4 linked regions of the Lepisosteus oculatus genome follow. The protein of the gene in region 3 interacts with the protein of the main gene of each other region in a pairwise test. Links are inferred from orthologs where the notes say so. Each region holds a gene or a part of one and is shown on either strand. Other genes may lie near its edges. The genes, in order: zinc finger C2HC domain-containing protein 1C, histone acetyltransferase KAT5, microtubule-associated tumor suppressor candidate 2-like and aquaporin FA-CHIP.

Region 1 (7,382 bases), on a different chromosome or scaffold from region 3:
AGGCCCAATGGCCTCCTCTCATTTCCTAGGTTTTCCTTGAGTTCTTATGTCAGGGGTTTTCAGCCTTTTCTGGTTGGGGGACACTTTTTCAATAAATCCCTTCTTGTAAGGAACCCAAATTTATGCATAAGCAACTGTTTGCCAAAATGGTGCTATTTGTTACTATGATTTAAAAGCCAAACCTGCTGGTGAACAGACCCACTGTGTAAGGTTTTACACACTACTAGACTGCCTGGGGAAAACCTCTGATTCCTGGAACCCCTTTGCCACACTCGGAGGATCTTTAAGGGCTGCTTTATGTTCTGGATTGGGTAACAATCATATTCACACATTCGTTTTATTTGTGGGAAGGAATTCTAAAGTCACTTCCTACCTCTGGCGTTGTACTTTTCTTCTTTAAGTTGATGTATTGCTCCAGGTCGGTTCCCTTGGCTCTGTGCTTGGAAGAGTCAAACACCTTCCGGCGGGAATTCTGCATTTTCTCACAGACTCTACGGTGTTTCTCCAATCTTTCTGCTGCAAATGTCCTGTTGCAGAGCGTGCAGGGCAACAGCTGCGAGTTCCCTTCCTGATTGTACGTCGGTCTCTGCTCCGCCTGGGGTGCTTCTTCGACAGAGAGTGGAAAACGTCTTGGTGATAAGTCTCCGCTCCCCTGAGGCAGCCTTTCTTCAGCACAATTTCCATTGCTCATTTCATAGCTTGCTTGTGGAATGCGGCTGTCCAGAGGAATTGGTTCGGCATGCTTCCCTCGATTCCTGACGTGTGTTTCATATCTGTAGGGCACATCCTGTGACTGGCCGGCGTTAGAGGCCTTTTCATGTTTCTTGAAGTGTGATGGAGCAGAACTTGAGTGATTGAGCAGAGATTGAGTGTGAAGCTCTGTGTTATTTTCAATAAGAGGCAGGACTTGAGTTTTTCTTCTTGCATCGACCGGTTGCTTGTCCTGAACTGAGTGTCTTGAGGAACTATAGGGCTCTGCAGGCACACCCCTGCCACTGGCACTGCCCAGGTGCCCTTTTGGAGCACCATCGTGCTGTCTCTCCTGAGCTCTCCTTTGCTGGGCCATTTTTCCTCTCTCCTCCCACTCCTCCTCTTCGTCAGAATCTTCCATCTCTATCTGAATCCTCCTCAGCTCTTCCTCGGTCCTTTTCAGTTTTGCCCTGAGCAGGAGCTCCTTCCTCCTTATCTCTTCCGCCAGGTTGGCCTCTACCTCTGCTAGTCTTCGTTGTTCCCCTTGCAGCCAGTGGAGACCACTTAAATTCACCCTGGAGGAGTTTTCATCTGGGGAGTGGGCCACATCTAGAGGGGATGTCTTATCCCTGGGGATTCGTGCTCTAGGGTGTCTCCTGTCCACTTGCAAATGACTCCCTTCTGGGTGATCTGCAGGCAGAGAAGGAGCCACTGGGATATTCCTCGGTGCTCCTATAGGCTTCACAGCCTCAACATCACCTGGACTGAAGATGTGATTGAGACTGAAGGCTTTCCTGTGGTACACAGGCTTCAGTGGGCAGGACCTATCCACCCCAGCTGTCTTCTTTCCAGGGGCAACGTGATGGAGATGGCCATTTCTGGGCAGATTCCCAGCAGATCTATGTTCCCTGTGCAGGCCAGTTCCACCCCTGTTGTTCGCCATGGTTTGCAATGCAGACTGCTGGTCGTGCTGGGAACCAATCCTGGCTTTCTGCAGCACGGCCTGCTGTTGCTGCCGGTACAGAGCGATCAGCTTCTTCTCCTTCTCCTCCCCAAGTTTCTGCTGGAAGTTGCTCTGCAGCAGCTGTAACTTGGACGGGTGCAGAGCTGGGTTCCGTCCACCGGGCCTCAGGGGTGGAAGTTTATCGGTTTGCATCTTTTTACCGAGGAAGGGGGAGCTCGAGGTCTAAGATGTGGTACCATTTGCAGAGGAGACAGGCAGGTTATTTTCTTCCAAGTGTCTGATTGGGAGTGAAATGTAATGATATTAATGTATACCTACAGTGAATACAGGAAAAGGCCTATTCTTGAAAAAACCACATACACAAAAAAAAATTATATTACATATTAAACATTTTCTTCACCTCAAACAACAATACATGCATCATACTTTTAAGAAACTATAAAAATGAGGTAGCTGTCCTTCTGGCAGAAGAACCATTTGTGTTACAATGTAATTATCCTGTTTGCAGATTCTCCTAAAGACTATAAAACGACTAAATGTTGCACACTGAGTTTTAAGCTTAAAACGCAGGCTGGATGCAACGCAAGCATTATGCCCGTTATTTTCAACTGGAAATCTATATTCAGTTTTGATCATAAATCACCCCCGTGGCCAATGAAATTCGTTTGTATTTATTTCCCAGCATCCCCGAGTGAGACGTGACACTGGTCGTTCATTCAACATTTCTTCGGCTGCAGACGTGGAAGAGGAAAAAACAACATATATTTCTGGGCAAAACCTTATAAATAATTCAGAAGTCACTGTATATGACACATTATATATTTACTTACACGACAGTCCAAAAAAACGTGCTAGTTCATCATAATTTACTCACCAAAAAACTTTCTTTGGTTTTGTCGACAGATTTCTGCTCTAATCCTTCGTCAGAGCTCTGGGGAGTTTGTCACGATCTGGCGTCCTTTGAAAAGCATGAATAAACACTTGCGTGGCAGGGTTTTCTTTCTCTCCTTAACTTTTTGGGTTTGTTCACTGGTATCTTAAACCTGCAGTTAAAACTGTTATAGAAAGCCGACTTTAAACAGCGCTTTTTACAAAAAAAAAGTAGGAGAAAATCCCCCCTCGTATGGTTTTATGAAACTTTACAGTCTCCCCTTGAAATACAGTCACCAAGCCTGCAAAGGCACAGAGAGTGACGAGTTTTTCCCCGAGCTAAAGTGATGCCCTTCACAACATCACCCCCAGCGTCACAGTAGGCGAGCCCTTTGTCCTCGCAGGTCGGTCATCAGAGGGTATTCTCCGGTAAGAGTTTAACAATAGGGTTTGTTGGCATGCGTTGCCTGGAAACCGGGAGACGCCACGGGGTTCCTTGGCATCGTAACATTCAGTTGTCAAGGGGCTCTGTTTGTGATTGGGCGCAGACAAACCACGTGGAAAGTCATCCGGAAGTTGTGAGATGCCCCGGATGTACCGGTCTGGATTAAGCCCTTCGTTTTGAAAGAGATGCGCTATACATACACACATTTGTCGTATGGGTGTTTTTAATACTGGTTAGTGATATTTTAATGTGTGTGCGTGATTTGTCTTTCGTGGTTGCTATTTATCGTAATGTGAGTATATGATGTTTCGTCTCCAATGTGCAGGGATAGCTCGGGCAAATCATGAGGCTATATCTAATGTTTAATTATGTTGGATAATAGATTGAGACATATGATGAATATGCTAGCGTTTAGTTGATCTGGGATGAAGACGAAGCTTCGGATATAATGCCCCTAATGAGCTCTGCCCCCTGATATTTAAGAGCGATATAGAATTCAAACATCCTTTTAGTTTTGAAAAAACAAGTTTGTTTTTTTTTTATTTCGAACGCAAAATGCAAAATAAAAGTTGATCTGGAAAGACTTCAGTCCACGCTGAAATATTTAAAATGTACTTCTACTGTTCCTGACGCTGTGTTTTTACATTATTTTGTCTAGGTCTCTGCCATGTCCGGTAAAGAAGATCTGATTTCAGTGGATTATGAAATCTATGGCAGAGTGCAGGGTGTTTTTTTCCGAAAGTACACTCAGGTAGAGCCCTTTCCTTTATTTGTGTGTGTTTATTTATGACTAATACCAGCTTCTCAATTATAGAACATCTAGTTAAATTCGGCGATCGGAAACTCGGATTTCATTCGCCCACCCAACACAGGAAAATGAAAATGAGGCTTGAGGCAGCACAGGCATGATTGTCCTGGGAATGTAAAGCCCTTTAAGGATGGGTGTGACGGTGGCAATGCAGTTAACAGTGCTGCCCCACACTTCCTGAGCCCTCGGCTTGCTTCCTGCCCAGTATGCCTGTGCCCGGTTTGCATGTTCTGCCCATTGCTGGGTTTTCACCCTGGGACTCCTGTTTCCCCCCACAGTACAGATTTATCTATCCTGTCCAGATTTTTTGGAGTATGGAAATCATCCTCCGAGTTTGTGTGTATACACATACCTCCTGCTCAGGACTGGCAGCTTGTCTAGGATGTATCTGGTCTTGACCTCATTGGCTGTTCTCCAGCCCTGTCTTGGATGAAGACATTGAAAATGCGTGGACAGCTATCATTCAGTTGTGCTTCCCTATGTGGCAGTACAGTATATACTTCCTATTGGGCACTCTTAGTGAGTTGCCATAGCAACCACAGAACAGCCGTCTGCTATAAATGTGCATGTGAGATTGCAATCTCTTTGTATGCATGCTATACATATATGTTGTGTTTTGCTGTTGCTTCTCGATGACTATCATTTAAATATTTTGTGGCACATGTGGGCATTGTGTAGTGTTTGTGCCGAGCTGAGAAATTAACAGTACCCAAGTCAAAGTACAGAATGTGTACAGGATAGAACCACTCTCTTTCCCAGTTAATGAAGTAATCAGTCGCTGAGAATTAGGTATGGAACCTGGAGCTGGGTTCGACAGCCCTGGGTCTCCGTGCGCGCACAATCTCAGATCAGCCGGTCCGGTAGCAGGAGTGTGCTGTATTTCTGTGTGGCTGCCCTTCCCCCAGGCTGAGGGCAAGAGGCTGGGCTTGACAGGCTGGGTGCAGAACACCAGGGAAGGGACAGTGAGAGGCCAGCTCCAGGGACCCGGCAGCAGGGTGCGAGAGATGCAGGAGTGGCTGAGGAAGAAAGGCAGCCCCAAGTCCCAGATCGCCAAGGCGGAGTTCTCCAACGAGAAGAAAGTGGAGAGTCTGGATCACAAGGATTTCAGGATCGTCCGGCCCTAACCTCCCAAATGTGATGTGTTTTTCTGTTTTCTTTTTTATTATTATTTAAAAAAAAGGCATAAACATCTTCCTAGAATCAAGATGTTTGGTCATTTGGTTTCAAGATGTCACTGTGTTGGAATGCTTTTTTGTAAATGTACTGCAGATAACATCAGTGAAGGCTTAAACTGCTAAATACGCATACCGTCTCCAAATCTGAATCTTGTACATAAGTGCTTGAGGATGTTTTGAACATTCTACGTTCCCTCTGTGTGTTTATTAAATCCCTATTTATTTTGAAGAACCATTTGTGTACTGTTTAATTTTGTTAATATAGTTACTGAGAGGGCAGCTTAATGACGGTACTTTGTAAAAAATACGCTAGCCCTATGTTTATTTTTGAGATGTAATCATCAACTCAACAATTGGTCAATAAAATATGCATCATTACAAAATTGAGTCTTTCGAGATATTTCTCAATACGTTTATGTCCGAAACGTCAAAAACTGTTCAAATATGTTATATTATGAATTTTATTTTGGTAAGGTAAACCGTACATAAGAAATGGATACCGATAATTAAAAAAAAACCCTGAGACTCGAAATTTGTATTTCTTGCGGTAGGGGCAGCAAAGAGCTGAACACAAACGCTCGGGCCCGGATGCGGATGTGAAGACATACAAACAATACCACGCAGGATGGATTAGGATTGCTCTTGCTCTGTGAATGTTAGAAATTAGAGTGAAATTAGAGATGGCCTGCATTTCACTGTCCACGAATGCTGCTTTTAATTCGCGCATCACCATAGTAACCGGAAGCCATGGAAACGGACACTTTGGAAGGACATTCAGCTAGAAAAAAGTCAGTGTAAATTATTTTTTTAAATATGAAGAAGAACAAAGTTGAAATACGGTCTTGTCGATGTCACGGCTGAATGTCGTTTCCCCTAAGATAATTATAGCACCGTTTTTCTTCCCCCTCTTTCAAAAGTAGAGTAGTAGTTTTGAATGGTTGGATAATAGGTTTTAGCGTGCGTTTTGTCCAGCACCGTAGTGCGTAGTTTTGTTTATCAAACTCGTCAGAATGTTATTTTTTAACTTTTTTTTTAAACCGTCATTGTTAAAAGAATAGTTCCCAACATGATAAGAGGGTTGAAGCTGTCAGTCTGCGATTGTTCCCGGCGGCAGCCGGGAATCTCAAATTATAGTAGATGGCGACAGTAGAAACTGTTATGAAACGGCACCCTTGATGTAGAATGTAAAATTTATTAGACCGGGAGTTAAGTAAAATGTGTTGGAAGTATTTATTTGCAGAAAAGTCCCATTAGGACGGAGCTCCGAATTCCTCTTAAATGTGCAGAAATGTCTGACGGGCCTAGGAGCGCTTGCTGAGATAATTTTTACAGCAAAGAGGCGGTTTAGGTTTCCGATAGCGTCAGAACTATGATTAGACGTTTGTCCGAGGACGTGCAGGCGAAGCTTCGCTCTGGGATAGCCATTTTCTCACTGACGCAGTGTGTGGAGGAGCTCCTGCTCAACAGCATCGACGCTGGGGCCAGCTGCGTGGCTGTGAGAGTGGACATTGAGGCGGGAAAAGTGCAGGTTCTGGACAATGGCTCTGGGATGGACAGGCAAGACCTGGAGCAGGTGGGCAACAGGTACTTCACCAGCAAGTGCGGCTCTCTGGATGATCTGGAAGCCCTGCGGTTTTACGGATTCCGAGGGGAGGCACTGGCAAGCATAGCCGGCTTAGCCACCCTGCTGGAGGTCTCGTCAAGGACCCCAGAGTCCGTGAAGACCTTCGTGAAAGTGTTCAAGAACGGGAGGGGCTTAGATGTGTCCGAGGCAGCAACCACCCGGCCCGCAGCCGGCACGACGGTGGTGGCCTGCGACGTCTTCCACAATCTGCCCGTGAGGAGGAAAAGGCTCGACCCGGTTCTGGAATGCGAGCGGATCAGGCAGAGGATCGAAGCAGTCTCCCTCATGCACCCCTCCGTCTCCTTCTCTCTGAGAAATGACTCCACCGGATGCACGGTGCTCCAGCTCTCCAAGTCGCGGGCCACGTACTATAGGTTCACCCAGATTCACGGACTGGGCAGAGCTCAGAAGCTTGGGGAGATCAGTCATTGCCACAACCAGTTTGAAATGAGTGGCCACATAGGGCGTGAGGGTCACTACAACAACAGCATGCAGTTTCTCTACGTAAACAGCAGACTAGTCTTGAGAACGCGGATTCATAAACTCCTAAATTTCTTACTAAAGAAGGTGAGAGTTGCCAGCAGGCAGAACAGCATCCCCGTTGTGTCCATCGCTGTGCACAGTCCAAAGCAGAGGGGTGGTTCAGAGCTCCATGGGGTTTATGTCATTAATATTAAGTGCCATTATTCAGAGTACGATGTGTGCATGGAGCCTGCAAAAACACTCATTGAGTTTCGGGACTGGGATGGTGTGTTGCTCTGCGTGGAAGAAGGAGTCAAAAAGTTCCTGGTGAAGGAGAACTTGGT
Region 2 (7,286 bases), on a different chromosome or scaffold from region 3:
CGGTGGGGTCAGTGCTGGGGGTCAGACTGCACTGGGATGTCCAGTGGGGACAGTGCTGGGGGTCACAGTGCAATGGGGTGTCCAGTGGGGACAGTGCTGGGGGTCTCACTGCACTGGGGTGTCCAGTGGGGACAGTGCTGGGGGTCTCACTGCACTGGGGTGTCCAGTGGGGACAGTGCTGGGGGTCACAGTGCAATGGGGTGTCCAGTGGGGACAGTGCTGGGGGTAGAAGTACAGTGTGTATTTATGTGAATGTATTATAAGCAAAAGTACAGTTCAATCACATAACACACACCTGCAGGAAAAGCATTCTAGAGTATTTACACAAAGATTTACATTCAAGAACTGCGTCAGACTCGGACAGACCACAGCTTTCTGGCAGGTCATCTGTCACACAAGGGAGAGACTCGGGTCAGAGATGACAACTGCCAGAATGCAGTGGTCTAGTGTCCAGCAGGTCCAGAGCAGGAGATCGGATCGCATCCGCGTGCCAGAACCCAGCGCCCCTCCCTCCGATCAAACCGGTCCCAATATCCGCGCTGCTCCAAATCCAACTCAGGATTCCCGCGGTCCCAGAAGTTAGAAACCTTGGAGAAGGGTTTGACTGACGTAGCTCGGGCGCGACTGGACCGGTCTATCGGCTTGACCACGGGAAAACCGGATCAGGAAATCCGGACTCCGATTCCGTTCCCGGGTTCTGGCACGAGCGGATCGATTCCGTCTCACGTGGCCCCGCTACCGATCTCCGATCTCCCCTCGCCCCTCGCTCCTCCCTCCCGGTGCCTGCGGAAGACGGGTGAAGGTGTACCGGAATGGGGACAGTTTTGCCTCTGGATGGAGCTGTGACCGTTTGGAGGCTGTGATCTAGACTCTTCCTCTGAATTTGAATAGAAAAGGGTGTTATTGACAGCGAAAGACAGTTCAACCTCCTTCTCTGCGCGCCTGTGGTCCTTACTGCATTTCTGCGGCTGCACTGACCCAGGTGAGCTCAGCGGCGCCGGGTCCGCGGCCCGGAGGCCGGACCCAGGTGAGCTCAGCCACACCCCGGTGCACGGCTGGTTTTGTGCAGTCATAAAAATGCAGTAAAAAAAGAGGGTTCACAACGCTGTAATAATCAAGCAGAAGACCGACATGCACAACATCTAGAAGATCAGCACCAGCACAGGTCTGCAGGAACAGGAAAGAGCATGGGACAGCCCGGCGTCACTTCGGGAGCCATCCCGACAGAGTTCCTTCTTCCCGGGGAGGCTAGAGAAAAAGGCAGCATTGGAGACGATTTCCAGAGGCCGAGCCCAGCCTGGTCCTGGGAGCGAGAGGGAGCCGTGCTGAACCGGTGGTCCTCGGGGGCTGTCCGGTCTGAGGCTCACTGGGGCCGAGCTTCAGGCTCAGAAAGAACGGCGGCGTTGGGGGGGGGGGGTCAGTCGCTCTCCAGCAGCTCGGAGCCGTGAGCTCTTACCACGTCTCTCTCCGGGGAGCTGGGCCGCGAGCCCGGCAGGCCGTTCTTGGTGGGCGTCTTGGCCTCCTTTTTGGGGAACTGGAGCTTCTTCAGGTCCAGCCTGTCGGGCGTCACCCACTCGTCCAGGCGCTTGTTGACTGAGGGGAAAAAGAAAAAGCGATCAGTCCGGACCCAGGAACCAGACACCAGAGCTTTCCCGGTGAACAACGACATCACGTCCAGGGTGCACGGCGGGTTCCCTGACCCCAAAAAGGGATCTGTCTGACCCAGCGGGCTTTTTCAGAACCAACAGGGAAAACGCAAACCAGAAGAAGCTATAGGGAAGAGCATCTCAAACCGAGAACGGGAGGCACTCCTTTACACAAAGCCTGGTGGAGGAGTGGAACAAGCCTGTTGTTGAAACAGGTATTCTGGCTCCTACCAAGAAACAGCTGGATGAGATTCCGAGATCAATTAGTGACTAACTAGAGATTGGCTGATTGGCTCCTCTCGTCTGTGACCAGTCTTGTTATTTCTCAAGAACACAGGGCGTTAACAGTCTGTAGTACATCCAGCAGGCGACGGGCGAAACGGTACTCACAGTCGATGTAGTGAACATAGTAGAGCTTGCGGCTGTTGATCTCCTTCAGGCTCAGGATCTCGGCCAGGGCTGCCAGGAGGACAGAGGCAGAGGTGTCAGCACCCAGCAAGAGCTTCCGCCCACCGCGCCAGGGAGCTGCCCGATCCCAGGCAGGACCCCACGACCCCTCCCCGGACAGGACCCCAGCCCACTCGGGGCTCCAGGCAGGACCCCAACAGCCCACCCTGGACAGGAGCCCCTACAGGGGGACAATTACAGGCAGCAGTTTCCTCACCCAGCATGGCAGGAGTGAAGAGACTAGGACACCCAGAGAAAAGCCATAAGCACATGGGGGGGGGGGGGAGACCGTGCACACTCCACACAGAAGGTGCACCAGCCTGCAACTGAACCCAGGTCCACACAGCTGCGAGGTGGCTCTTCTTGCAACCCACGCCGGAATAAAAAGCATCCAACATAATCAGCCCGCCTCCAGCGGCGGGACAGCAGCGCCGTGCACCGCCCGCACCCGAGAGCGCAGAGGGCGCGTCTACTCCGGTGCACTCAGTGCGAGCTCCCGCAGCGCATTTCTCCAGAGTGCAACATCTACAGCATCGCGTTACAGAGGCAAGCGCGCAGGTTCAGGTTGCATTTCCCGCTGACAGTGTATTAAAATCAGATATAGGAGCGCAAACAATGCTCTAAATGTCAATATTGTATCCGCCATGACAGCTGCCCGTTACTCACGCCACTCGTCCTCGTTCTCCTGGTTTTTCCTCAAAACCGGCAGCCGACAGCCCTCCACGATCTCCATCTGTTAGGAGGAACGGGACAAAGAAGGGTTTACGTTTCTGGAAAGGTAGAAAGAAAAGTCCCGCACACAGTTTTTAATCATAAAAAAATAATCGAGGACCATCACGGTTATTTACTCACATTCGCTGAATCCGCCATCTTGCTCCGCTGAGCACAACAAGGCCCAGGGGCGACGGAAGTACGCAACCGACGTGTCCGCGGCTCAGGCTAATGACGCCATCGCCACTCCAGCCAATCAGCGTCCGAGGAATAGGTGAGGTTCCGGCCCAGAGGCTGGGGCTCGCATTGGACGCCTTGGAGGAAATTATGATATTTAAAAACATAATCAATGGCATCTGATTCCCAATCTTTGAAAATCTAGGTGATCTTGACTTTCTATTGAAGTGGAATTTAATATATGAACATAATTTCTCATCACATACGAACTATGTGTGGAATAACTCAGCAGGGTGAGCCTGGCCAGTACCTGGAGGGGGAGACTCCTGGGAGAGCTGAGGCTGCTGCTGGGAGAGGTGTGAGTGGGACCAGTAGGGGGTGCTCACCCTGCGGTCTGTGTGGGGCCCCAGTACAGGAACGGGGACACTATACTGTAAAAAAGGCACCATCCTTCAGCTGAGACATAAAACCGAGGTCCTGACTCTCTGGTCATTAACAATCCCAGGGTGTTTCTTGAGAACAGTAGGGGTGTTACCCCAGCGTCCTGGCCAGATTTCCCCCTGGTCTTTACCCATCCTAAGATGGAAATGCAACTCCAGTCATAATTTGAAAAATAACAAGGCAAAAACGTAAACTTGTGCTCTGATCTGCAATAACCTGATACAGCACCCTGCCAGAATAAAATGAGCAGCCACGTTATGCCCCTGCCCATGCACACGGAACCAGGGCCCTGCAGTCATTTGCAATTATTAGTTGCAACTCACACCTGACGGAGGCTCCCCGTCCGAAACGTTGCATTTTCTTTCTTCTCTCTTCAGCCTGGAATAAACCTATTATTGTTCCTAATTACTTACAGTAGATAAGTAAGTGACAGTGAAGTGCTTTGGTTTGTGTCCTCTTTGCGTACAATGAAGAGAACGGAGGACCCCCCTGCACACAACAACCCAGTCAGCGCCGCGGCCCCACGGCCCGAGGGTCCTGGGTTCGAGTCCACCTCGTGTACCTTCCCGGTGGAGTTTGCAGGTTCTCCCGCTTTCCCGAGGTGTGCTTCTGCTAGACTCCACCGCCGCCAGCGCCCTCCGGTGGGCAGACAGCTCACAGAAATAAAAGCACGGACACACAGAAGAGCCAGGACTCGGGCGTCGTTTTGGAAAAGTGGATTTTTAATGAATCTTTCATTCGAACGTACATTGTGGCTTGGATATTACAGGCCCTCCACTCACAGTACAATGTATCCCTACATTCCTACCAGTGTAACACAGAAATGATATTCCATTCTCTCGCAGGATCGTCTCTCCAGTCACAGCCTAGATACCCGTCCCCTATAGCACAGGCCACAGGCTCTAGTCCCGTCCAGTCCCCTATAGCACAGGCCACAGGCTCTAGCCCCGTCCAGTCCCCTATAGCACAGGCCACAGGCTCTAGTCCCGTCCCGTCCCCTATAGCACAGGCCACAGGCTCTAGTCCCGTCCCGTCCCCTATAGCACAGGCCACAGGCTCTAGTCCCGTCCCGTCCCCTATAGCACAGGCCACAGGGTCTAGTCCCGTCCCGTCCCCTATAGCCCAGGCCACAGGCTCTAGTCCCGTCCAGTCCCCTATAGCCCAGGCCACAGGCTCTAGTCCAGTCCCGTCCCCTATAGCCCAGGCCACATCATAACGACTCACAGGTCCTCACACACCCTATATCTCTGTCCCCTAAAACTACCTCCTCAAAGTATTCTATTGCCCTGCCCCCCTAAACCTACCCCCACACACACCCTATAGCCCTGCTCTCTAAAACTACTCCCACACCCCCCCGTCTTATGGTGTCCCCACTCCTCCAATCCACCAGTGGCAGCCCCCCAGTAACAGGTCTCCCCAACTTTCTATTCTACCCTGCTGCCAGAAACAGCTCCTTGTGAAACTGGTCATTTGTAGGGTCACATTGCTAATGTGGGGTTCAGACAGTGGGGCAGGAACCAAGTCACAGCAGACCATGCACGTGGAAAGGAAAGTGGGGGTACACAGCATCCCCTTCGTCAACAATGCAATGCGATTGTGCCACCTGAAGGGGTGCACTTCTGGGCCACCAGGGGGCAGCCCGAGTGTGCAGGGGTGCGCGTTGGTGCCAGAGCAGACGAGCCAACAAACAGCAGGATACAGGCGGCAGGCATGAGCCTTGTCCAGTGTCCATCACCGGTGAGTGTCAGCACATAGCACTGACCCCACTGGACACCTCAGGGCAGTGTGACCCCCAGCACTGACCCCACTGGACACCCCAGTGCAGTGTAATCCGCAGCCCTGACCCCACTATACACCTCAGTACAGAGTGTCCCCCAGCCCTGACCCCCCTGGACACCTCGGTACAGTGTGACCCCCAGCACAGTCCCCCCTGGACACCTTGGTCACCATGGTAACAGAGACACTCTCCCATCACCACCTCCCTGATGACAGGGATGCAAGGACACCATCCCTTGTTGCCACGGTGACTAGACATAGCCTCAAGGATAGAAGAATGCTGGTGGGGGGTGTAGGTGATGTAGAGATGATGGAGATACACTGCCCTGCCAGAATAAAATGAGCAGCCACGGCCATACACTGGCACCCTCACAGCAGGGCTCGACCATTAGTTACCATCAGTAAAGAAGTGTAGGGCACCTGGCACCCCCAGCCATCCACACACAGACAGAAGGAAGCAGGACCACCCCCCCTCCCCCCCACACACAAACACCATAGCCAGACCCCGCGCCAGTAGCCCCTAAACTTCACCTGTGCTCTGTGCGAGAGAAGCAGTCAGCCAGCTCTGTAAGCCAATAATTTAGACCCTTATATACAGACACAGAGCCAGAGCGGACAGAGGCCTCCCCACAGAACCCCCCCCCAGCGCTTCTGACCTGACCCCCCAGCGCTTCTGACCTGACCCCCCAGCGCTAACCCCCCCCAACACTTCTGACCTGACCCCCCAGCGCTAACCCCCCCCCCCAACACTTCTGACCTGACCCCCCGGCGCCCCACCCCTTCAGTAAAGATGAATATTCTACACCTAGACGTGCCCTGCGCTAACGTGGCGAGTTACAGAAACAGGCGCTGAGCATTCACGAGAGCTGCATGCCTCGGGCGAGCCGAGAGTCTTGAGAGGAGCGAGGCCGAGCGCGTCCGCCGGGGGGCCGGTCCGCCACACCACGGCAAAGAGGCGCCCCGGGCGTCCCGACTCCCCCCTTCCACCAGAGGGCTCCCGGCGAAGACGCTCGACCTCTCCCTTTGGAAAGCGGCATGCGGGATAATTTCTGTTAATTTAGAGAACAGTTCGTTTATTCACCCCCCCACCCCCCACCCCGATGGCCAGTTCAGCAAACATCTTGAACTGCTGGAGTACGCTACACCCTGTCCCGCCCCGCGATAAAGTAAAGGCTTCTTCGTGGCAAAGGCAAATTCTTATCTCCCCCCCAAAAAATTAAATGCGCTCAGAATTTTGGTTTGCATGTCTCAGGAATTTCCAATCAGGCAGGAAACAGGGCAGCCCCTCCTGGTGCTGAACGGGAGGAGGGGGGGGGTCCTTCCTTAACACCACCCCCCCCCCCCCACTTCGGGGCTCAACTTCATCCAATCAGAGAGCTGCGTCTTGAGAGGTCAACGTTGCTGGCGCTCAGTCCCCTGGATTCCGATAGGCCAGCGTTAGGCTGCTGCAAAATCAGACAATAGCCGTAAGATTATTCGATGGATACTGACAGAGACGGCAGCACAGACGCACTGAACCGAAGTGATACACTGGCACACACACACAGAGACACAGAGTGGCACCCAGCAAAATGCACTGACTCACGCATGGAATGCCACCCTGACGCGCACGCAGACGCGCACGCAGACACGTACACAGACGACAGGCGCACACAGACAACGACTGGCCCCCAAGCCAGCAGGGACACACTGAGTGGCACGCAGACACGCACACACACAGACGCACACAGATGACGACTGGGCCCCAAGCCAGCAGGGACACACTGAGAAGCACGCAGACGTGCCGACCGGCGGCTCCGAGCTCGAACCTGTGCAGGGTCTTCGGCGGTCTTGTTGAGGAAGTTGAGAGAGCTCGCCCGCTTCATCCTGCGGACGAACACAGGGGGGGGGGAGGGCACAGATCTCACAGACTGGCCAGCGGAGCAGAACAGGGCTCTGGAAAGCCACGCTACAGCCCGAGTCCGGTTCTGTAGAGCCCCACACTGTAACCCCAGCCTGAGCCCGGTACTGTAGAGCCCCAAGCTCTAACCCCAGCCCGAGCCCAGTACTGTAACCCCAGCCCGAGCCCGGTACTGTAGAACCCCAAAC
Region 3 (7,680 bases):
TTGGGAACTGTGATCATGTTCTGATTTCTAAAAAAAACAGAGCGGATACAAAAATAAAAAACAGTGAAGATCAGATGGGATGGGCATCACCACTATATAGCACTCTGGCCCATTTTACAGGTATTAGGTGGTGCAAGCGATTGTGCAAATGCAGCGCAGAGGGCAGAGTGGTGGCACTGTGGTTAAGGATCTGCACCTGAGGCTGGAAGATTGCTGGTTCAAATCCCGCAGCCGGCAGAGGAATCCTACTTTGTTGGGCCCCTGACCAAGGCCCTTGATCCCAACTACCCCAGGTGTCATGGCTGACCCTGCACTCTGACCCCAGGCTTCTCTCTCCCTCTCTGTAATCCTCATAGAGAGCAGGCTGGGGTATGCAAAAAGACAAATTCCTAATGCAAGAAATTGTATAGGGCTTAATAAAGTGATCTGGGTCAGATAAAACAATTATTTTTCACAGACCTGAAGAACAAAAATCAAACCCTCAACTCAATGAAAAAAAACAAACAAACAAACAAACAAATACATTGTGGTAATATAACCCTGTTTTTAATTTCACCAATGCTATATACTGCAAAAAGATACTTTTACATGTACTGAGTTGTCCTCAATTAACACTCTACACTTTGCCAAAGAATTAAAGTAATTATCTAAAAGATAGACCAATAAACAGTATTAAAAGCTCCTGTACTGCTCTGAAGACTGAAATTTACATTTAACACAAAAAATATTACTTTCAAGAAACACCTTAAAATTGTATAAATTATGTATTACAGCTAATATGAACATTTAATAATAATAATTTTTGCTTACACTTATATACTGTACCGCTTTTCTGGACACTCCACTCAAGGCGCTTTACAGGTAATGGGGACTCCCCTCCACCACCACCAATGTGCAGCACCCACCTGGATGATATTTAAACTAATGCCCTTGTTAAGAGAAAAGGTCTTGCACAAGCTGTATGAAACCTCCTCCTTGAGAAACATTTAAGGTGAAAACTAAAAGATAATGTGAGGTATTTTTGTCTTAACTGACTTTAGTCCGCATCAGCATAAAATAAGAAATGCATTCTCAGCTTAAATGGGAAATGAGACAATCCTGCTCAGATACAGGCTACAGTAAGTCCAAAATTACAGTAAACATACACAGACTACTTTAAGTCAAGACTTTGACCAACTTCAAATATTTTCAATGACAGTTTAAAATTGAATAAAAGCTTGTAGGTTTTGTTAACCAAAAAGTAACCATCAGGCACTCAACGTGATATTGCGGATGGAAGGTAAAAACAAAGCGGTTAATTTAAGATGCTGTTTTAAATACATTGATTATTCTAAACAATTTCAGTTTCACATAGGCACAATTGAAATGAACCGATTTCTCTGAAATAAGTATGAGACAGAAAAATACATAGGAACCAAAATAGAGGAAGTCTTTAAAATGGTGCCTGGTTGCTAAATCCGGTTTTCTTTTTTTAGGAAGAATCACAGCGGCCCAATGTGTATAGCCTTTGCGAAAAGAGTTTTTAAATTTTTCACTAATGAATTACATTCCACATTTATTGTCCAAAAGTCATCATTACCGTTGTATTATTTATGGAACTAATATTGAGTGACAGCTGTTTAACGCTACCTTCAAGATGTACTGAAGCTCCTGAGCCCCAATAATGAGCAAGGCTCGCTTAATTCCTCTACCTGAATGGAGTTTCAAGCTGTATCATTTCTTCTCTTCCCTGGCGCACTTAATGTCTAACCCACATTTTCAATTTAAACACCATCGCATTCAGGAAGCAATTTAAAGGTTTTTGTTTTGTTTAATACTGTTTGCCCTGGACAGTTTGTAAACTATTATAAAGACATTGTTATAAAACTGAAGAGTTTATAATACAAAGGAAACCACTGCAAAACAATCTACAACCCGTAGTTCCGACGACTGAGAGAACAAGCTTAAAATAGCTCTGCAGTTAATATAGTATTGCAGCAAATTCCTCCTTATGTTTACTGTTACACAACACTGTCACTGGCGCACCAAGAGCACATTTTCTGACCATATAGAGCACTGCGTTGAGAGGTGAAGAACAGCAGCACACTTAACGTCAGGCGCAAAATGTGTACAGCATGACTGCATAATTAAACTCTAACAACAAAAACAACATAGTACAGAGCACTGTATGTGTGTTTATGGAGAGGAAAACCAATGTAGCCCACAAATTACATGCAAATGTGTTATACGTTTATAATTGCACTCATTTCTGGACCTTTCACTTCGTCTCAAAGACCACGCTTGCAGATTCGCTCACACTCTCAGGTATCACTGCAAAGACGTAAATAGATCAAGCTTACGTGGTCAATACCAAAGGTGTCGCTTCCAGAGATCTTACAGTTAGCTCAGCAAAGGGCTTTTACTTGTGGCACCGACTACAGTCAGTGTGTTTTATTTAAAAACCACGTTTAATTTTTTTAACACTTTCCTCGACGTGAAGCCTTTTTGTCCTGTAAAAAAGCTCTAATTGTTGTGCGCCAGCGTCACAACTAGTTTTAATCTAATTGAACTGAAAATACGCCCACCAAATACAGCATACACAAAAACAGTATATAAGGAAGTTGCCATAAACACATTTGTTCCTTTGAATGTCAGCGAAGGCAATTTTGTCACCGGACAGCACAGCAGTTGCATTCTTCATCTAGGTGGGGTGCTATTTTTTTTTTTTGCAATGCAGGCAAAAATATAACGTAGCAAGTCGATGCTGAATATAATAACCTTTTCCATACACAGATGCACCGCCTGTACCTCTGCTTTGTGCATCTTCTCGCCCGGAAACTAACAGTGCATACCTGTTATTTTGATTCCGTTTTCCCGTGGAAATGCTGAGCATCCGCCTCCTCGTGCTTTACCAGGTACTAACCACCATCCTGAACGCAACGAAGAAAACGGTTGGGGGTGAGATAGACGGTGCAGAATGTTTCTCTCCTCTCCTCTCCTCCTGAAGCAATCTGGATCTTTTCCCCTGGAGAACCCATGCTTTTCAGAAAGCCGAAGGCTCCACCTGCTGGCAAAGAACAGGAAGGTGCAACATCCATAGGTGCACAACAGCGTCAGAGAGGTTGAGAAGAATTTTTTTATCGGCTAAAGTTAGAAAATATAAAAGACGTTTTTTTTTTCTTTTTTTAAGGGAGTTCTAACTACAGTTCAACAATCGTGATTTGTTCTTGGTCTTTGTACGAAGACGAAGGTTTCTTATATCCATTGGTTTTGTGTTTGATTAGTTTGGTTGTCTTGTGAGATGAAATTATCAACTATTTTAGTTCTTTTAGATTGGTTATTTGCGATTTAATTACTTGCGAGATGGCTTTAATCGTGAATGGTGCCTTTATACAATGAGAAAAAAAACTGACTGCAATACTAGTGCTTCGGCACAAATCTGAACAAGTAAAATACATACTCTATAATAGAGATTTCTAACATGGATCTTGGTCCCAATTCAGCACCTTTTGTAGGTCACCATTACTTTGTGTCTTAATATATGAAACGATTTCATTGTGATCAAACAGGTGACTTGTCAAAGTAAGTAATTTACAGATCATTTAAGACTAAAGTCTAAGTACTCTCTAGCCTTCAAGGACCTTAGATTGTATTAATTCAACAGATTACCTGCTTTCATTCATCAAATGTTTACAGGTGTTTTCAGCCTTTTCAACCAGGTGAAAGATAAGACTAGGTCACAGACCCCTGGTTTAACTGAATGTGTGGAGCTGTACAAAAATATAAATATAATGTCTCAGTATCTGGGGCACTTAGTACATCAGAGTTCTCAGTCCTGATTCTGGGGGAGTGCTGTCTTCTGTTTTTTTTTCTCCGTAATCTTAATGGTAAACTTATTTATTCCAAATGTAGGTGTTTTTATTTTATTGTACCTCATAAAGGCTTATGGTTCAGAATTGATATCAACCCTGTGCCAACCCCTAAGACTCAGAATTCCCCTCATTCTGGTGCATTAGCCAAAATGTAACCAATGGGATTTAAGCCAAAGGAAAATGAAATACTTGCTATGGGAATGTCTGATATATTACCATTCCCATCTGGCTGTTCATTATAACATGACTGTCAGTTAAGAGCTTTTTAACCTAAATAAGTGAACAAATTCATAATTAGCATGTTGAAGAGAGACTATATGAAATTCTGTATGCCAAAGTTGTTGAAAATAATACAGTACATTAACGGGATTTTTTTTAAACTGACGAGCGTGGAAAAGGCGTAAATAAGCAAGCAGATCAATTAGCACCAGTGAGTAAAGGCCTAGTTGGAGCAATAACCACCAGATGCTGTTGTCCCTTAGGATCAGCATGGGGAACCACTGCTCTAAAGTAACAATACAGACAAATTATCTTATTTGAAAGATGTACGTTCCTCAGTCTCTAAAATGACTCACACGAGTAATATAGCAGTATAAGTGGAGCGAGCTTTGCTGATAGGGAAAAAAAGACAACCAAGTGCTTTTGAAATTCTTGACACAAGGAATACAAGGCTGTGGACAACAAATTGGAGAATAACTGTACTATACAACTACTGCCCACCATACCATGACCAGTATGTTGTCACACACCCTAGGGATGTGTGCTTAGTCCATTGCTCTACTCCCTCTACACCCACGACTGTAAGGACAAACATAACACCAACTCTATCTCATCAAGTTTGCCGATGACATCACAGTTGTAGGTCTGATCACAGACAATGATGAGAGGGCCTACAGGGAGGAGGTCAATCTCCTTATAACGTGGTGTGAAGACAACAACCTCACCCTCAAGGTCAGCAAAACCAAGGAGTGGAAAGGGTCAATAACTTCAAATTCCTTGGCGTCCATATCACTGAGGACCTCACATGGTCTCTCAACGCCACTTGTCTGATCAAGAAAGCACAACAGCGCCTGTACTTCCTAAGATGGTTGAAGAAGCCCTAAGATATGTCCCCAGATCCTCACTAACTTTTACAGATGCACTACAGAAAGCACACTGACAGGTTGCATCACTGTGTGGTATGGCAACTGCAGTATTGCTGACCGCAAATCCCTACAGCAGGTGGTGAAAACTGCCCAATGCATCGCTGGGGTTGCCCTCCCATCCATCCAGGACATTTATGACAGATGGTGCTTGAGGAAAGCTCTAAGCATCATCAAAGACCCCACACACCCCAGCTACAGACTGTCTGACCCTCTAACATCTGGAAAACGGTACCGGAGCATTCAGGCCTGGATTACCAGACTCACAGTTTTTACCCCCGCACTATCAAACTATTAAACTCCCAGCCACCCTCACCTACGATCTGAACCCTCACAGTGCCTTCTCTCTTTGTCGGATCTCAAACACACATTGAAATCTACCTCTACCTCACATGTCAAGAAGTTCACTCCCCATAATTTTCTATCCTTTATTTTGTTCTGTTGATGTATGATTTTGCACAACTGATGTTGTTTTTCACATTACCTGTTTCCTGTTGTTGTGTTGCACATTGCCTTTTGTCTCTGTCTTTCTTTTCTTATTCAATTGTATTGTTGTTTTTTTGTGCTACTTACCGTCTGAGAGCTAGCTAATTAGCATTTCATTATACCATATACCTGTGTATCAGTATAATGACAACAATCTTGAACTTGAACTTGATTTTGGACCAGTTGTAGACAGCGAGAGGCAATGGACTGGACCTGAGGCCTTGGCAGTATGGTGTCCTTGCCACCTCTGCCAGATAAGCAGTGTATGCTGCTGAAAGTGCCTGAGTGTGGTTAAGATGCCCCATCGACAAGGACACACAAAACTCCTTGTGTAGCACGCTCTCCAGTCTCCACTGCTGGCTCAGACACACCGAGGGCTGAGATGGTAGGACATCCACTCGCTCCACCAACAGTTTCTTAACAGGGCCTTTGTTGTCCGCATTGGGACAGTGTAAAGATGTTCTACTACTTGACACAAGAAGGGCGTGCTTTGTCCTCTTCAAGGAGGTGCATACAGGATGTCATCCAAAACATCTGCATGAAAGGGCCAGGGTCAAGCATGGAGAATGTCCAGTTTGGCAAAGGTAAGTGGAAGTTTCTGCAGAGCCTCAAGCCAAGGCAAGTGAATAGTGGCAGCTTGGAAGCTTTCCTCCAAGGAGCATTGCCTGTGAGGTTTTTAAAGACAAGTGGATCAAAGGCAGGCAGGTGGGAGGAAACTGCTCACACTTTCTCATCCTCCCTTGTGTGAGGTTGCTGGGTTCATAGCTGTAGGCTGAGACATTAAAAAACAACAAATGACAATTCCAAAAAAATCACGTGCGTATAACAAAAAAAATTGGAAAGATTACAAAATCCCACTCCCACAAGACAGAGGTTTGAAATGTGAATACCAAACACTTTTCATTTCAAGGCTTATTGTATGTTTGACCAACTGGATGAAAAGCAAGTTCTCGCCTGTGTCTCTAGCACAGCAATAACACTGATATTTCCAGATGGCACTCTGAAGGGGTCTTGGGCCCCAGCTGTGTGGGGGGAAATTAGAAATGCGTCCGCAATTAGGACATCAATTTTTTTTAAAAAGCATACATTTTCATTGCAACTCACTGTTAATGTAGTACAGTTCATCCCTTACAAATCTCAAACAGTTTATGAGAACAGCGAACTTAAAATAGACTCCTTTGGATCTGTAGACGCTGAGATTTGTTCCAGGGTTAAAAGGTGAGACGTGACAGTGTAACCTTCTGCACCCATTAGTGTCAGTCGTACTAAGTCTTTTCTTTGTTGTAGCCATGCATCATGATTTATTATACACCTCCATATTTCAGAGTACTTTTTTATTACAGAATTATATTTAATTTACGTATCAAATCAGAGATTGTATGAATTACATACTAAAAGTAGAAATAAAACAAAACAAAAAAAACAAACTAATTAACATATGAAATTGAATAACATATGAATAGTTTTATATACTTAGCAGACTCCTACTAATATTGTCCTAGTCCAAAGTGTCAAACAAAGGAGGCTTTATATCTTAAATTGGTTTTAATTTAATAGCTCTCAACTTACCTGTACAACAGAAAAGTTGCTCATTAAAATAATTTGGGGGGATAAATTAAAGGAAAGGGTAAATTCATTCTAATATTTTAGTTATTTCCTTCCAAAATCTTTAAAACCTTAGGATATGTAAAAAACATGTGAGAAAAATTACGTTGTATTACCACATCTCCAGTAATTGTATTTTTGTAATTTCATCTGAAAAACTTTCTGGAAGTAAAATATATCCTATGCATTAATTTGAATTGAATAGATTTTTTTTTTATTTGGAGACCAAAACTTCACATTTCTACAAATGTGAATCCATGCTTTCCTGTCTCTTTTTTATTAAAGTTCTGAGCTGAAAAATATTTTCATTGAAAATCATTGTCTGATGTTTTTATGTAATACATACAGACTTCAATTTAGATATTTGAGATAGAAGGGGGTTTTCAAGAAGAGTGTAATTCATTTTTAAATACACTGTCTTGTTAGTTTCAGAACAGCATCTGTAAGTTTGAAGTACATTTTTGATTGATCATTTGGAAATGAGGAATGTTTCTTGAGATGTCTCCATGATATTACACCTTTATTCATTACTAGGTCACCAACTTGTAAAAACCCCACTCTGTAATGGTTTATTGTGATTTGCATAGGATTTCCCC
Region 4 (7,058 bases), on a different chromosome or scaffold from region 3:
TAATTTAAGGTTCCATTATTTGTTTTTAAATTTCACATTCCACCTACCCAGTGGTCTTTGAAGTTAGACGTAATCAGAGCAGGGCCAAAGGATCGAGCTGGGTTCATTCCACATCCAGTATAACTGATCTGGGGAGAAAACCACAGATTTGCATGGGATTGCAATGGTATTTTCTAATTATCCAAATGACAAATTAATACGTGATATCTTACCAGCTGTGCAGGAGAAAACACTCACTGACACAAAAATAAAGTAAAGTGGTTATTATAGGATCTATTTTTTTATAATTAAGCCATGTTTTTTTTTTCCTGAAATGTTCAAATACTAGCAGAAACGTACCAAAGGTCACTTTCAGAATTGTTTTTTTGCTTCAAAACTATTTTTAAAAAATCTAAAAGAAAAAGTGTTTCACAGAATTCTAGATCTAAAATAGCAAGCATTTACTGAGGAAAGTGGGTGAAGTTTAAATTTATTCTGTAAATTCATCATTTGAAAAACATTACTGCTGGCAGCAGAGCAAATTTAGAAAGTGTTTGCAATTGCTCAGACTGCAACACTAAAAGGGTATTGTATCTAACTCTACCGGGGCTTTTAATTTCAATCTCTGCCTCTGACTCAATCCATTTTGCACCAACTGCTTACATACATTTGCATACTGTAGATCAAGTCAGCTGTTAAATTAAATTGGAACTGGCTAGTCATCACCAGTGATTTTTTCCACTCTATGGTGTACATTATATTTCAGTCAATTTCTAAGTGACTTACAGAAGTGAATACTAAGAATTCATGTTTTAATGACGTACAGCAGCAAGGTGCCCAAAGGCCACAGAGAGACCAATGGCAAGGGGTGCTGAGCCAGTGACATCATGCCGTCTCTTATCTGTTGTTGCTATAACACACAGGACCAGTTGAAAGGTGACAAGAAGCTCTATTCCAACACCTTGACTGGAGGTTACATTGTTTAGCTGTAAAAGAAAGACAGATACACATTTTAAAGGTTGAGAAAAAAATAATGATTCTTGTCATCTCTGGATAAAAGATTGTTTACTTTTAAACTACCTGTGAACATTATATCAACAAATCACATATTATTAGGTATCATAAGAAGGTAACAAAGGTGACAAGGAAGAGAAGGCCATCTAGTCTATCTGGTTGCTGATAACTAATTGATCTGAGTATCTTATGCAGGTTTTTTTTTAAGATGTGTGGTTTCAACAACATACTATAGCTGAGTTGCTTTCTCCACACTCCTGCATTTGTTTGAAGTGTCTAAATAAGAATATTAATCATACACTGATTACAGGATTTTTTTAAAGATGGAATAATCAAAGTATTGATACCCCACTAAATGACACTTTTGGACAGTTTTATTTTAGAACTGATACAGTAATGGTCAATAAGTACAATAAGAGACTGAAAGTGCACTACTTACAATAAATCTAAGTCAGAATATTTCTGTTTCTCACTAGGGACTTTATGTAACTATACATTTTTTTATTTATCTCAGTACATCATTTTTTAAACTTGATTCTCCTCCCAAATTTTATTTTACTGGTAAAAGCAGTTATAAATGCTTCATTGAAAAAGAACTCTGATGTAAAATATGTAACTTCCTTGATGAACCTTTGAATCCAATGGTATTCTGGTTAGTAGCAGTTGAACTACTAAAATTTCTTTTAATATTTTTCCATGTGTTAAACTTCAATATCCACTTTATTTCAACAGTTGAGCTCAAGACAATTTAAAAAAGTCATGCAAAAACGTCCATTATTTACCTTCCATTAATTACAATTAGAGATTAACTCAAGAAAGATCTGGGATATCAAATCTATATGGGATATGTTATCCGAAAATGCTGATGTGTCTTACAGTTTTAAATGAATTTAGTGAGTGATGTAATTTAATTAAGAAACACAAACTAGTGAACAGACCACTAGAGGTCATCATAAACTACTAAACCACTGCTCATTATCCTGATTGTTTTTGTTGGAATATGTACTATACGGTGTTACATTTTTTATTCTTTAGCTAAGAGCTTCTCAACTTTTTTATTATATCACACTAAGGTCACCAAATCGTCCAGGTAAAATATGTAATCTGTCTCCTTGTTCTTTTATATTATACATGTAATATTATTTGTATGTATTATTAAATCAGTTATTCTGTGTCATAGCAATGAACTATAAACAATACATTTAGCACATGTTTAGTATCTAATTTAAATTATAAAATAATTTGTAAAGAAGACCATGAGGCACATGCCACATGTTTCCAGAAAAAAAAAATAGTATTCTGAACATAAATTATGTCACTGTGTGGTTTTACTTGTGCTGTCCTTCTCATTACCTTAATTCACATTCAGGTTCTATTTCTCTGTGCATAAAACACATGGATGAAATCAGGTGGTGTTATGATTATCCAATGCATTTGCATAAAACACACACTCAAACATCTGTGCACAAAATAGGTAAAAGAGAATAAAATATGAATATTTACCTACTTTGTCTAATTAAATTATAGTGAATTAGCAACAGTTGCATACACTCTTTAAAGAAAGTTTTTAAACTTTTTTCTAGAAGCAAGAAAAAACACTCACTGAATTCACTCCCAGTACATCAGTTCCATTCGGCCTGACTCCGTACACAATTCCACTTGCCATCGATGCCCCCAGTAGTTGTGCAATGATGTACATAACAGCCTTGAAGACACTGATCTGGCAACTTGCCAGCATGCCAAAAGTCACTGCAGGATTCAAGTGGGCTCCACTTATGTGGCCCAAACTTTGAGCTAAAGTGGCTATAGCTAACCCAAAGGCTAGTGACACTTTTACCTCTTGGTCAGGACTGGAAGCTTTAGGTTGCCCTACAGCAGCTGATATACTAAGAGAAATAAAGAGAGTAATGCCTATTAGTTCAGCCAGCACTCCCTTCCAAAATGCCTTGCTCTTGAATTCTCTCATCTTGACTGAGGCTTTGCTGGTCTGATGTGGTATCTACAGACACAGAGACGTTCTGGAGAATTTATAGAGTTCAGTTCATAGTGGGAGGAGGGGGTGTTGCAAAGAAAATCAAAAGCATGCAGAATTAGTGAGACCTCAAGAGCTTTCACAGTTGTTCCACCTCTTTTTCATAGGAAGTCTTTATTCATCGAAATAGCTTTTTCTAGAAAATGTTTTATACAAGTTGTTGCTAAGACATATCATTGGTGGTAAATTCCTTAAAATTGTGTGTTGAATATCACAGAACATTAAATATTTAATATTGTTTCAATTTTATTGCAGTTAAAGGAGTAAATTGGTAAAAAGGGAAAATACAGCATAAGGTTTTGATATGTTGTAAGAAAGTTTCTCCTTCATTCTCTTTGATTGTCGTGGCAACTCCTGAACAATTGGGGAAGCAAAAGAACTGCAGTTGTTATTTTGTCTAATCATTTGCATCACAAAGTGAACCTTTTTTCTATGGAGAAAAATTCTGCTCAGAAGAGAAAAGTGAAATCTAAATACAAAACAAACAACTTAAGGAGTTATTTAATGAGACTGCATCTGATCAGAGTTTTCTTGTTCTTATGTACTAATAATGGTCAAACAAATGGGGTTTTAAAAGTATCACATAAGCAATATACAGTATTATAAACAAGTGTACAAAAACAAGGCATGTTGATTAATTCACTTAATCCCATATGTTCACACATTTTCATTCAGGATAAATACACTTACATGAATTTAAAAATCCTGAAATTATAGTACAGTACATATATATTTGATGTGAAGCTTTTATCATACATTTGACTATATTCATAGAAATTTTACTAAAATACGTCTTTCCTAGTAGAAAACTCAAATTATTCAATTGTAAAATGCATAGTTTTAGAATCCTTATAACAATACGTTTTTATACATAGTCCACAAACATGGCAAAGGTAGTACGCAGTCCAATGACTGTAAAAGACTTTATACATTTTTACTATTTTCATTCAAATGAATCCTTACTACCAAATAATCATAATTATATTATTTGTGACTTTAAAATTCAGTCTTTTTTCTATGCACCAGACCTCCCTGTTTGCTTTTTTATCGAGTCTCCATATTGTCTTGATGTGGACATATGGGAATTTACATGTACTGTACACATCTTCTGCAAAGATTACTGCTACTCAGAATCAACCATGCTACAGTACATGTATCGTGTATGTTCCTACTTTCAATATGGATCACTTTGCTTTTTAATGCAAAGATGCATATTAATTATTTGCCAGAAGTCTCAAGACAAAACTCTCTTTGTAACTCCCTTGCTGATTTGATTTTGTTTGCCACTCCCCAATTATTTTTCTATCATGTACACTACAAAATGTACTTGTTAACTGTAATACAAAGTAGTTGTTATAGATCACATAGAGCAGTGGGCCTAAAATGGGTCCCAGCACACCACTGCTTATTTCAGACCAATTACTGTTTGTGCTCTATAAAAATGATGTACTATTTCCTGTTTTCTAACCTGTTTTTGATTGTGTGCATTAACAAGTTTGGATTTGTGTGGTTTTAAATTTGAAAACCAATATTCTCTGATGTCGTTTGTTTGAGCATTTTAGCAAGATAGTTAAATAAGACATTCCATTTATAAGCCCATTCTATTGACTACTAGATTATGGCAATAGTCCTATCTAGTATTGTTATGTACTGCAACTCTATCATTTGCATTTCACTTTAGCATTAACATTAGTCTTATTGCTCTATTGTTTCCTGGATCATTTACCCTACTCATTATGAACTGAAGACATTTATAGTTCTCCAATCTGTGGACACTGCTCCCATTCAAGTGAGAGTTAAAATATCACATTTTGGAGTCTATGAAAACAGACTTCAATTCTTTTAAATGACTGGGAAAATTCTAGTGATTTACTGTAGGGTCAAGATCAGTTGTGCTTAATTTACACAATATTGCTGGAGCTTGTTATATAACATTGGATATCTCTGTGAATTTAAATGTAACATATTACATATACAATTATTAACTTTACTTACTACTATATTTCCCTACGGGATTAATAAAATATTATCTATCTAAAACACTACTCAATCATCATTGTTTTAATGTTATAGTACTGAGTGAAATGCTTTGTATTGTTTTTAATTGTGCTACAATATTCTGTTCTCTCTCATGGTAATTCTTTTGTATTTTTTCTAGCAACTAGCTATAGCAACTAGTTAGTAGCAACTAACTATAATATCAAACTGTAGACATTTTAGCATACTATGATTGTTTTAAGTGATTAGGTTGATAAGAGTATCTTCCCTGGTTGGTGCTTTTACAAAGTATTCATTGACATTTTAACCATATTAGTTTGAGCTGCTGTATTTCCATAACAATATTAAATGCATATGAAGAAAACTGAAATCACTCAGTAATATGATTCCATCTTTGCTACATACTGTACATTCCTAACTAATACAGTATATTATACAGTAAACTGCTTGCATCCATGTCTGTATTAGCTTGTCTTTGGCATATAACAGTTGTTTTGTTCTTAGAATTTCTTTTCTGCAGTTTAACCCAAATATGTTATATACACATGTATTTTCTTTCTTCAGCTTTCTTGCTTGAAGTTTTTTAGGAGTCTTTGTCTCCTGCCTCAAAATGTGCAGCTATTTATATTCATTCATGCTGTAAGAAAACCGGCTCAGGGACTTAAATATGTAATCACAGTGGCTTTCTGAAGACACCAGTTCTGTAGGGTTTGGGCATTTACTGAGACAATTATTAATTGTAGCAGTAAATCACAAACTTGATTCTTTTGATGGCTTTAGAATCCAACCATGCGACATAACTCAAACAATGCACACACACAGGTACTAGTACACGAGGATACATTTATTAATACATAGAATATGCATATAAACCTAACATATCTTATCGAGAGGGTTATCAGAATACAAAAGGTATATATTCAGTCAGTTACAAAGAGTTACACATATCAAGAGGACATACGGTCAGTATATCATTCATTAAGATCGTTTCATAAATGAACTTGGTTATAACTTCTACATTAGATACTCAAAACAAGTACATAACTCTTAGGAATTAAATTGATATCAACTGGTTGGGATAACAATTGAATTCTCGAGCTGTAATGCATTGAAGTTGAATACTCATCCAATTTCTGGGGATTCAGATCTCCTGCGGGCACAAAGAAACAGTTGCAGGCTGTTGCTTGTCCAATCCAGGCTTTCTGGCTCCGTGCCAGGCTGTGCTGTGCGGCTTGCGACGGTGTGCTGCAGATGCTCACTGACCGGCTAGTTAGCAAAGTTTGTGCACAGGAGAAAAGATGACTGTGGGTCCCAGCAAGTCAGGAAGAGGACCAGTTCGTTCCTGATGAAGAGCTAGTTCTGAATAGTGATTCAGCTGTCCACAGTTCCGACCTGTTCACGAGGCCTGATGCTGGTTACTCTCTGGCAACCTCCACTCGAGACTCTTATAACAAAGGAAAGTTCTGGCACTCGGACACACTGGCCGTTCCGTGGTTGTCCGGGCTGAGTCTCAGGATGGTCAGGAGGCGCGCTGCGAGAATGTCCTGCCCTTGGGAGCCTTCTGCTCCTGGGCCGTCCTGCCCTGGAATTCTCCTTTGAATTCCCTTTAGAACAGTCCACAGAATCCTCTCCAGAATCTTACTGAATCTCACTGAATCTCACAGGCTCTCTGTGTTGCCTGTTTTTACCTGGAGGAACTTCAGCTCGTTGATTGCCTAAAAGTTCCATGGGCATCAGAGTCCCACGTGGGTTACTCGGCCCTACCAGTCCCTGATTGGTTGATCAAGGTGAGATATGAGTCACTTACTCCTGACACTTAGTAATGCAGTCCAGATGTCCAACTGGCACTCCCTAGACAGATAGGCGCCAATGGATGACCATTGATCATGATAGCCAGGCTTAGCTAAGTGCATCCCCCTTTGGGAGCTGTCCTTATCAAAGGAACCCTAAATCAGCTTGCATGAATAGTTTCTCTGTGGCTGCACCACAGAGATGAACAGAGAAATGGGGCCTCATTTGGGAAGGTTCAGCTCAC

Evidence for each region.
Region 1: the proteins of microtubule-associated tumor suppressor candidate 2-like (region 3) and zinc finger C2HC domain-containing protein 1C interact in binary tests that used the Homo sapiens proteins (3 or more experiments, as listed by UniProt). The two-hybrid records come from large-scale screens. The link is inferred for Lepisosteus oculatus from reciprocal best matches to the Homo sapiens genes MTUS2 and ZC2HC1C.
Region 2: the proteins of microtubule-associated tumor suppressor candidate 2-like (region 3) and histone acetyltransferase KAT5 interact in binary tests that used the Homo sapiens proteins (3 or more experiments, as listed by UniProt). The two-hybrid records come from large-scale screens. The link is inferred for Lepisosteus oculatus from reciprocal best matches to the Homo sapiens genes MTUS2 and KAT5.
Region 4: the proteins of microtubule-associated tumor suppressor candidate 2-like (region 3) and aquaporin FA-CHIP interact in binary tests that used the Homo sapiens proteins (3 or more experiments, as listed by UniProt). The two-hybrid records come from large-scale screens. The link is inferred for Lepisosteus oculatus from reciprocal best matches to the Homo sapiens genes MTUS2 and AQP1.

What each region holds. Positions count from the first base shown.
Region 1 is NC_090703.1:8,490,396-8,497,777, forward strand, and holds the start of zinc finger C2HC domain-containing protein 1C, read right to left. Parts: upstream 3,006-7,382; 5' UTR 2,529-3,005; intron 1,932-2,528; 5' UTR 1,847-1,931; coding exon 374-1,846; intron 1-373. Other genes in the region: acyp1 (acylphosphatase-1), read left to right, coding at 3,217-3,261, 3,628-3,720, 4,683-4,901; DNA mismatch repair protein Mlh3, read left to right, coding at 6,322-7,382.
Region 2 is NC_090713.1:22,611,408-22,618,693, reverse strand, and holds the start of histone acetyltransferase KAT5, read right to left. Parts: upstream 3,019-7,286; 5' UTR 2,964-3,018; coding exon 2,946-2,963; intron 2,827-2,945; coding exon 2,760-2,826; intron 2,106-2,759; coding exon 2,037-2,105; intron 1,594-2,036; coding exon 1,457-1,593; intron 878-1,456; coding exon 809-877; intron 1-808. Other genes in the region: kinesin light chain 2, read right to left, coding at 6,560-6,643, 7,007-7,064. UniProt on the Homo sapiens protein: Catalytic subunit of the NuA4 histone acetyltransferase complex, a multiprotein complex involved in transcriptional activation of select genes principally by acetylation of nucleosomal histones H2A and H4.
Region 3 is NC_090700.1:17,556,049-17,563,728, forward strand, and holds the start of microtubule-associated tumor suppressor candidate 2-like, read right to left. Parts: upstream 3,014-7,680; 5' UTR 2,832-3,013; intron 1,868-2,831; exon of another isoform or gene 1,692-1,867; intron 1-1,691. UniProt on the Homo sapiens protein: Binds microtubules. Together with MAPRE1 may target the microtubule depolymerase KIF2C to the plus-end of microtubules. May regulate the dynamics of microtubules at their growing distal tip.
Region 4 is NC_090701.1:33,148,899-33,155,956, reverse strand, and holds the start of aquaporin FA-CHIP, read right to left. Parts: upstream 3,007-7,058; 5' UTR 2,960-3,006; coding exon 2,597-2,959; intron 966-2,596; coding exon 804-965; intron 129-803; coding exon 48-128; intron 1-47. UniProt on the Homo sapiens protein: Forms a water channel that facilitates the transport of water across cell membranes, playing a crucial role in water homeostasis in various tissues.